2 linked regions of the Sus scrofa genome follow. The protein of the gene in region 2 interacts with the protein of the main gene of each other region in a biochemical or structural test. Links are inferred from orthologs where the notes say so. Each region holds a gene or a part of one and is shown on either strand. Other genes may lie near its edges.

Region 1 (4,148 bases), on a different chromosome or scaffold from region 2:
TCCCGGGCCAAGGTCCCCGCTTGCTGGTCCTCTGTCAGCCACCGTCAAGGGCACGGGGAGCCCTCACACACTCTGGACGCCCAGCTTCTGCTACCTCTGCACGATGTCACTGATCTCCTTCACGGAGCTGAGGAGCTTGCTGAAGTCCTGGGTGGCCGCTGGGCCACTCCCTGCTGTCGCCGGGCAGATCTGAAGCTCGCGAAGACTGTTCTCCAGTTTGTTGATGGCCTCGCGAAAGGCGAACTTGTTCCTCATCTGCTGGATGGAGTCCACGTAGCTCACGCAGAACGTGTAGAGGTTCTTGCCGGCTTCGAGCACGGCGCTGTGGCTGGCCATCTGCTCAGAGTTCCTGGAGACGGCCAGGCACAGGGCCTCGGTGCCGTCCAGTACCATGCCCTTGGTGATGGCGCCGCTGGCAATCCGCTCCGGAGGCTGGCGGGTTTTCCGAAGAGACACGCGGGTCGATATGAGAGGGATGAAGGCGGTGGAGGACGGCTGGTCCCCCGCCAGGGCAGAGGATGCTGTCGGCAGCGTGCAGGGAGCAGAGGCTGGGCTGGTTGGGGTCCCGGCTGGCTTGGTGGACGACTGTGGCTTTGGCACGGACGGGAGCACAGGCTTTTTGACACCGTCTCCCAGCTGGCTGGGTTTGGCAGCGTCACTGTTCACGGCATCCACAGCCAGAGCCGCAGGCTTCGCCTTCCCACTGGGGCCTACCTCCCCGGCTGCCTCCTGGCTCGGGCTCTGAGAGGACTTCCCCACCTTCCCAACAGAGGCGGGCGGTGGGGGCGGCGGGGCAGGCTTGAGTTTGGACAGCTTTCCCTTGTCCCTCCCTGGGGACTCGGAGGCGGGCTTGTGCCTCCTCACTCTGGACTCCTCGCCAGGGGCCTTGCTGGGCCCTCCAGAGGCACCTGGCCCGGCCCTGCTGGTGGGGGGCCCCGGCTCAGCAGGTGCCCCCAAGGCACTGCACTTTCCGGCGTCTTCCTTGTGGGGAAGGCTGGAGGAAGATGGAACCTGCCTACGGAGGAGTTTCGGAGTCAGGGTGGGAGGGCTGGAGCCCGGGCTGGACTCGGCTGTGTCTCTGAAAACCTCGTCAGCTTCTTCCTCGGTCTTCTTCGCCAGCCGGGGTGGCGGGGTGACGGTGCCTCTGGTCACCTGGTCGGACCTGTTCTCACTGGCCCGCTTCCGCGGCAGAGCTGGCTTCTCACTTTTGTGCCCCCCAAATGTGGACGAGTCAAACTGTCTTCCCGTGGACTGCAGGTCCCGAGGCAGCGTGACCGACCGCCACTCTGTGTCCTTGGCCCCGTGGGGCACGCAGGAGGCAGAGCAGGACCTCAGGAAGCGCTTGCTGGAGCTGCCGCCGCTCTCCTCCTCGCTGGCTGCTAACCGGCTGCTGGTCAGGGTGCTGGACTTCTTCCACAGGTGGGGGGACCGGAAGCCGGCGCCCCCGGACTCCCGGAAGGCTCCGTTGGGCACGCCGGCCCCGCCGCTGGGCTTTGGGGACTTGGCTGGCTCGGCCGCATCCGAGGGTGCGAGCGCGAGCGCCCCGTTGCTGGCTTCCCGGCCCTCGTCCTCGACGGCCCCTCTGCGCTCGGGCTGGCCGTCCATCTCCCGGAAGGAGCTGCTGCGTTTGGGAGGGGTCGGGGCGGTCTTCTTCTTCTTCTTGATCAAGGCGCTGAACAAGTTGGTCTTCTTGTCTTTGGGGAGCAGGCGCTCGTCTTCGTTGAGGCCGCCGTCCTGAGGGCCGCGCTCTTTTCGAGGCAGCAGCGGAGACACGGCCGGCTCGTGGTCCGGAGGATCTGAAACACACCGGGGAGAGTTGAACGGCTCCAGGCCAGAGGCTGCGGAGCGAGCGGGGAACCTCGCGGGCCGGCCGGCCGGCCCGTTCCTACAGAGCAGCGGGCTGGGCACCGGCTCTGACGGGCTCTCACCCGGGCCGGCGGCTTCTCTGTGCTCACCCTCACTTTCTCATCTGTAAAGCGGGGGACCGTGAGGCCTACCCAGACGCTGTCCCCAGAAAGTAACGCCGCAATGAACGTGGAGCCTTCACCACAGCTCTTGGCACGAAATTTCTAACTGCAGCCCCCGTGGTGAGTAGTGCTGTTAGGAAAAGCTCAGGTCCCTCCCCTTGAAGACAGCAGACCAAAAAGCTGGGACACTCCCCGTCCTTTAAAGAAGCAGAGTCCCCTCAACCCCACTGTCTGGTGAGTAAAAGGCAGGACCAGGCCGAGCGCAGGGTCAGAACCTGTGCCTCTCAGACCCGTCAGCCGGCTGAGGCTCCCACGAGGTAAGATCAGGAGGGACGGGCCACCTACCACAGGGCGCGGGGACAATGGGCTATTACGCTTGGGAAACAAGAAGGGTGACCTTTAAACATTTTTAAATGGACATTCTTTAAATGTGAATAACAGCTCCTAAGAAATCTTTCTGGTGTTGCCAAGCTCCCCGTGAGTGAATGACAGAACTCTCTCAGAGGGCAGCTGCTAGGGCCTGCTGTCAGCATCCTGTAACTCGAAGCAGAGGGACAAGGGGCATTTGTCAGCATACCAGGCAGCACACAGGACCTGTGAATCAGGGAAGGCTGAGGAGCGCCCCGAACCTTCACCCAGCGGAAGGGGGCGAAGACAGCGAAGTTCTAATGAATCACGCACAGCCCACCTCCGTGCTCAACAGCTAATGGGCACTCCGGGTGCACCGAGATACCACACACCAAAATACTCCTCAGATGAATGAATACCGGCGGGCAAAACGAACACGGCTGCTTATCACCGGGCTTTTAATAAGCCGCTAGTTTTCACAGTAGCCTCTCCTCCCCTCCGCTACCTGAAACCACGACGAGCAGAGATGAAGGGGGTGGTCAGGTATATGGGAAAAGATGTGACAGAGAATGGATGTGTGCATGTGTATGGTTGAATCACAGCTGAAGCTGCTGCAGCGCTGTCCATCACCTGGGCTTCAATAAAACTTCATGGGAAAAAAAAGAGAAAAAAGAAGGACCAGAGGAGCAGATGCGGGATAGCTGACGTGCCATCATGCTATCAGAGTGGGGGCGCAAGATGGTCCAGGGGTGTGCAAAGTAAGCACTACAGTTTAGCTGTTCCTCTTTCTTTTCCTATGGACACACAGGTGGCTTATGGAAGTTCCTGGACCAGGGACTAAATCCATGCCACAGATGCCACCTATGCCTCAGCTGTGGCAACACTGGATCCTTTGACCCACTGTGCCAGGCTAGGGATCGAACCTGCACCTCTGTAGCAGCCTGAGCCACTGCAGTTGGATTTTTAACCCACTGCACCACAGCAGGAACTCAAGGAATTTTTTGGCTTTGCCTGTGGCATGTGGAAGTTCCTGGGCCAAGGATCGAACCTGTACCACGGCAGCAACCTGAGCCGCTGCAGCCATGACAAAGTTAGATCCTTCACCTGCTGTGCCACAGGACAATTCCCTCAACTTTATTTTTTTTTATTTTTTTATTTTTTGTCTTTTTTTTTTGCTATTTCTTGGGCCGCTCCCGCGGCATATGGAGGTTCCCAGGCTAGGGGTCGAATCGGAGCTGTAGCCACCGGCCTACGCCAGAGCCACAGCAACGCGGGATCCGAGCCGCGTCTGCAACCTACACCACAGCTCACGGCAACGCCGGATCCTTAACCCACTGAGCAAGGGCAGGGACCGAACCCGCAACCTCATGGTTCCTAGTCGGATTCGTTAACCACTGCGCCACGACGGGAACTCCCAATTCCCTCAACTTTAAAACATTAACAGAGGTACATGATGACAAAGCTGGGCATCATGGGGGTCTACAGACTCTGCTGTGGCTAGACACCCCACAGCCCTGCCCTGTCCCTTCCCCTTCCCCCGGGTGTGGTCCGTCAGAGCATCCCCAAGGAGCTGCTACCCACCCAGGCGCCTGGTCCACCTCGGGCGTGTCCATTCATTGGCCTGACGGGAACCCAGACCTCCCAATTTCCTTTCCTGTCGGGGCTGAATCGGAGCGGCCTAACCCAGCGTCACGCCTGGCGCAAAGGAAGCATCGGACCCACACTTTCGAATGCTGTTCCTGGTAACATCCTAGGACCCTCCCGAACGGCTCCCACGCCCTCGCCGTGGGTCTAGGGAGCAGCCCCAGAAGGAGCCTCCTCTCAGACGAGAGG
Region 2 (4,148 bases):
CGCACATCTACGCTATTTTAATTCATATTCATTACTTTTACCTTAAAAAGGGGAAACAGAAAGGAAAATGCCTATCTGGTGGGAAAATGGGGGGGGGGGGGGGCAGGAGGAAAGAATGTGGCTCCCAGCCAGATGCCTGCTGCGCGGGGGCCTCGTAAACCAGTAAACCAAGCGCCCAGGGACCAAGACAGTGCTCACGCGTCCCCGTGCTGTGAGCTGTCCTTGCCCAGTCGGAGGGCATCCTGCCGTGCTAATCCGCAATTTCTCTGTGGGCACTGGAGGCCTTCGCCTCGAGTTATGTGTCAGGGCAGGAAGGCAGGTCGGTTGTACCAGCTCCTCCGCGCAGCTCGGCGTTATAGCACCCCAAGTGCGAAAGACACAAGGATGCAGATTTTAGGGCTGTTTTAGGTTATTGATGGCAACTTCTGACTGTACCCTTCCTCGCAGCTCACGTCCTTCTGTTGGGATTTTAGTATAGTGTATTATTTCAGAGGCATCTTGTGGTGCAGTTGCTTATAAGTAAGATGGATGTGTGGTAGGTTTAGAACCTTAGTTGATGCTTTGGTGCCTTTGCTTTTCTGGTTTGCGGATACACTGCCTGTTAGCTGCCCCGTAAGGAGTCTGATGAGGCCCATAGGTCTTTATTCGCTTATAAGTAGCGTTGTTGCTTTTTTAAAGTATTAGCTCGGTAAAGACAGCTTGGCACAGAGCACTGAGTTTCCAGTCATCTCTCCCAGTTAGTTAGGGCTTCCCTGTGGAAAGGGAGGTGGCTGTGACGAGATTGCTGCTCCTCTTCCTCCTGGTCGGCCCCCGGGGCTCCCACACTTTCCCTGAGTTCCCCTGCTTTCTCTCGTGACCAAAGTGAATGAGCACTGGGAGCAGAAGAATCTATAACTTGCTCCAAATGAAAATTCGAAATTTGCAACTAGCTGCCTCTGCACAGGGTGAATTATGGCATATTCCCGACGGCTCCTAAAAGCCAAACCCTGAGCGGTGACGGCAGAGAGAGGCCTGAGAGGAATGCAAACCGCCGCCACCACCTGGGGCTCTTCACCGCCAGGACCTTTCCCCTTTGTGCTGTTACAAGAAGTAGCCCTGCCTGCAGCTTCTGGGCCTTCCAGCTTCCCTGTCCCTGTCTCTCCATCCCATGTGGCAAGGCTGCCGCCTTATCAAATGGCTGCAGGAAGGGCCCATCTCCCCCTCTGTGGTTCATCCTGTGCTTAAGTCAGTAGGCCTGGGCTTTCCCCGCTGCCTTGCTGATGAGTCAGGAGGGGCCCCAGTGGGCTTTGGCCCAGGAGGCCCATGTTCAGGTGTCTTTCTCTGTAGAAAGAGTGGCCCACGATGGTGTCTTCTGAGTCACTCTGGAGAGTGGGGAAGCGAGAAGGCTTTGAAGGGATCTGGTCCCTCTCTCAAGGCGTGGTCGGGACGGGCGGGACTGGCAGGGGAGAGGGGCCCCTCCTTTGGCGAGGAGTTCTCGGTTCCTCACATTTCGGAGGCTGGATATCCCGTTTCTTTGTGGGGAAGCAGATGTTGACTGGTTTGCCTTCCTTCCTTAGGTGGTTTTTTGGCAAAATCCCCAGAGCCAAGGCAGAAGAAATGCTTAGCAAACAGCGGCACGATGGGGCCTTTCTCATCCGTGAGAGCGAGAGCGCTCCTGGGGATTTCTCCCTCTCTGTCAAGTAAGTACTTCCTGCTCTGGTCGCCTGGAAGCCTGTCTCCAGCTGATGGCAGTTGTGAAGCCAGAGGCCAGGCGTCTGACTACATGCACCAAAGGTGGCACACTGGTTAAGGTTTAGCTTTGGCAGTATTTTACACATCAGAAAAGCTTACATTAAAATCCTCATTTCTGGTTCCTCTAAAGAATCTAGCAGCTCCAGCAATACTGGGTTTAGGACTCCCAAGAGGGAAGTCTTCAGTGGCTGAGCAGCGGCAGCACTTGAGAGAGCGCACACTTCCCTCTTTTCCCCAGTCCCCACCACTCTGCAATGCTCTCCACATACACCACTCTTTCCTCCTCCGAACATCCTGCCCTTTCTGGGCTTCCTGCAGCTCTGTAAGTGATCAGCTCCCTTGTGCCCCTTTACCAGGTGTCTAGCTAAATCTGCCAGCATCATCCTAGGCCTCCCATTGACTTCAAACACAAGGGTTTCTTTCCCCGGTGGGGAATGTAACGTTGGCAGGGAGCTGTGTGCTCAGAATGGGGGAGTACCGGGAGTTTTACCATCTTGGGAATCACAGAGAATACAAATTGGAACTTTGACAACACTAAACTAATCACTCCCCATCCGTGACAAAGATTTCAAAGTTGTCATTTCCATACATTTTGATTCAGTCCATTTCTAGTTAATATCACAAGAAACCCTGACCTAGGAATCTTACAAATCACTTCATTGTTTATATGGCGGAGGTGATTAGATTAAAACTCAGCTCGCTTTAGTATGGATTTACATTATTTTTAAATGGAGGCTGTAAAATATTTTATTTTCCATTTACAGATGATATAAAGATTTTTCAGTCTCAAAAATAAACTGGGTGCGTTCCCGTCATGGCTCATCAGTAACAAACCTGACTAGTATCCATGAAGACATGGGTTTGATCCTTGGCCTCATTCAGTGGGTTAAGGATCCAGCATTACTGTGGCTGTGGTGTAGGCCAGCAGCTGTAGCTCCAGTTTGACCTCTAGCCTGGGAACTTCGATATGCTGCAGGTGCAGCCCTAAAAAGCAAAAAAAAAAAAAAAAATCAACTGAATACCTTGTTTCATTTTGGGACCAAATGAGTGGTTAAAGTGTAGGGGTTTTTTAATGTAGATTTAAGTTTAAATTTTTTGTATCCTTTTTCTCAGTGAAGTTGTGGGAGGTGGTTTCAGGTGATATTTGCAGTATCTTACAGATAATGTTTCCAGTATAGCTAGGTCTAGTCCCAACATGAAAAAAATCAAGCTGGATCTGATTTTCAGTTTTCCTCTTTTAACAGTGGCTTTTTTTTTTTTTAAGTAGACTTTGGTTTTTTAGAGCAGGTTTAAGTTCACAGAAAAATCAACTGGAAGGTACAGAGATTTCCCGAGTACCCCGACTCCCACTCACATGCATAGAAACAGTGGCTTTTTGATGTGCTTGATTAAACACATGCAAATGAGGATCTGGTGGGTGAAGAGCACCTTGAGGTGGAAAAGGCTTTATGCTTCTCATTAACTCTGGTTTCTTCGTCGGTTTTCCTTACACTTTATACTGACCTGAGTATAAATCCGGCCGAGGAAGACCAAGAATACAAGCCATTAACTGGTGATTGAATGATGGCCCCAAACCCTGAGGCAGCTGGTGTTCAGTTGTCTGATGACTAGTCCCTGCCCATGCCCTGCGGTGCCCACTGGGCAGCTCCCAGACCATGTTCCATTTTATCACGTAAAACCTTTAAAGAGTTTGTTTTAGAAATTCGAAGCAGATGTCCTAACCACCTTCCACACATAAGCATTCTTCTAGAGGAGCTTCGGGAATCCAGTCTCTCGTTTCAAGGCGTTGTGGGTCCGTGATGGAAAAACTTCGGGAGTTAACAGCTCACCGTCAGGGACCCTGTACCCCTTTCAGGAACCACCTCTGTTACACGGTGGGAGTGCCCTTCCACGGGCCAGAAGTGCCATTTGAATGCCCTTCTTCCTCATACGGCTTTTATCCTCGTCCATCTTTTTTCTCTTGAAATAGCAGTGCTGTTTCTAAGCGCTTCCTACTCGTGGCTTCCTTAAAGCTCAGTGCTGCCACCTGCTGGGTTGTTTTTAAGACGCGTTAATGCCTTAAAACCAATGGCAGAAGAGAGTCCTCCGCTCGTTTTGCAGATGGTTGTAGAGTGCCTTGTGAGGGACGGGCAGCGCCTTGGTGGAGCTGATGTGCTGGGCCGACAGCACGGTGTCTGTGGGCCGGCCCACTCAGCCAGGCTCGGGCTGGTTTTCTGGGCCAGCGTGAAAGGTGGCATTTACCGCTTTACCAGGTGGTAGAGGGGAGGGGGTAGGAGGTGCCTGGGCCTTTTTAGTGTCCCAGCATGTTTTGTTCTGAGATCTTCTCCCCACAAGTAGACCTAAAATCCTTGAGCAGAAAACAGGACTTTTCGGAGTTCCTGTCGTGGCTCAGTGGAAACAAATCTGACTAGCATCCA

What was found.
Region 1: the proteins of GRB2 (region 2) and ABL1 form a complex in vitro, tested with the Homo sapiens proteins (3 studies listed by BioGRID). The link is inferred for Sus scrofa from reciprocal best matches to the Homo sapiens genes GRB2 and ABL1.

What each region holds. Positions count from the first base shown.
Region 1 is NC_010443.5:270,900,692-270,904,839, reverse strand, and holds part of ABL1 (tyrosine-protein kinase ABL1), read right to left. Parts: intron 1,797-4,148; coding exon 91-1,796; 3' UTR 1-90. UniProt on the Homo sapiens protein: Non-receptor tyrosine-protein kinase that plays a role in many key processes linked to cell growth and survival such as cytoskeleton remodeling in response to extracellular stimuli, cell motility and adhesion, receptor endocytosis, autophagy, DNA damage response and apoptosis.
Region 2 is NC_010454.4:6,003,011-6,007,158, forward strand, and holds part of GRB2 (growth factor receptor-bound protein 2), read left to right. Parts: intron 1-1,556; coding exon 1,557-1,679; intron 1,680-4,148. UniProt on the Homo sapiens protein: Non-enzymatic adapter protein that plays a pivotal role in precisely regulated signaling cascades from cell surface receptors to cellular responses, including signaling transduction and gene expression.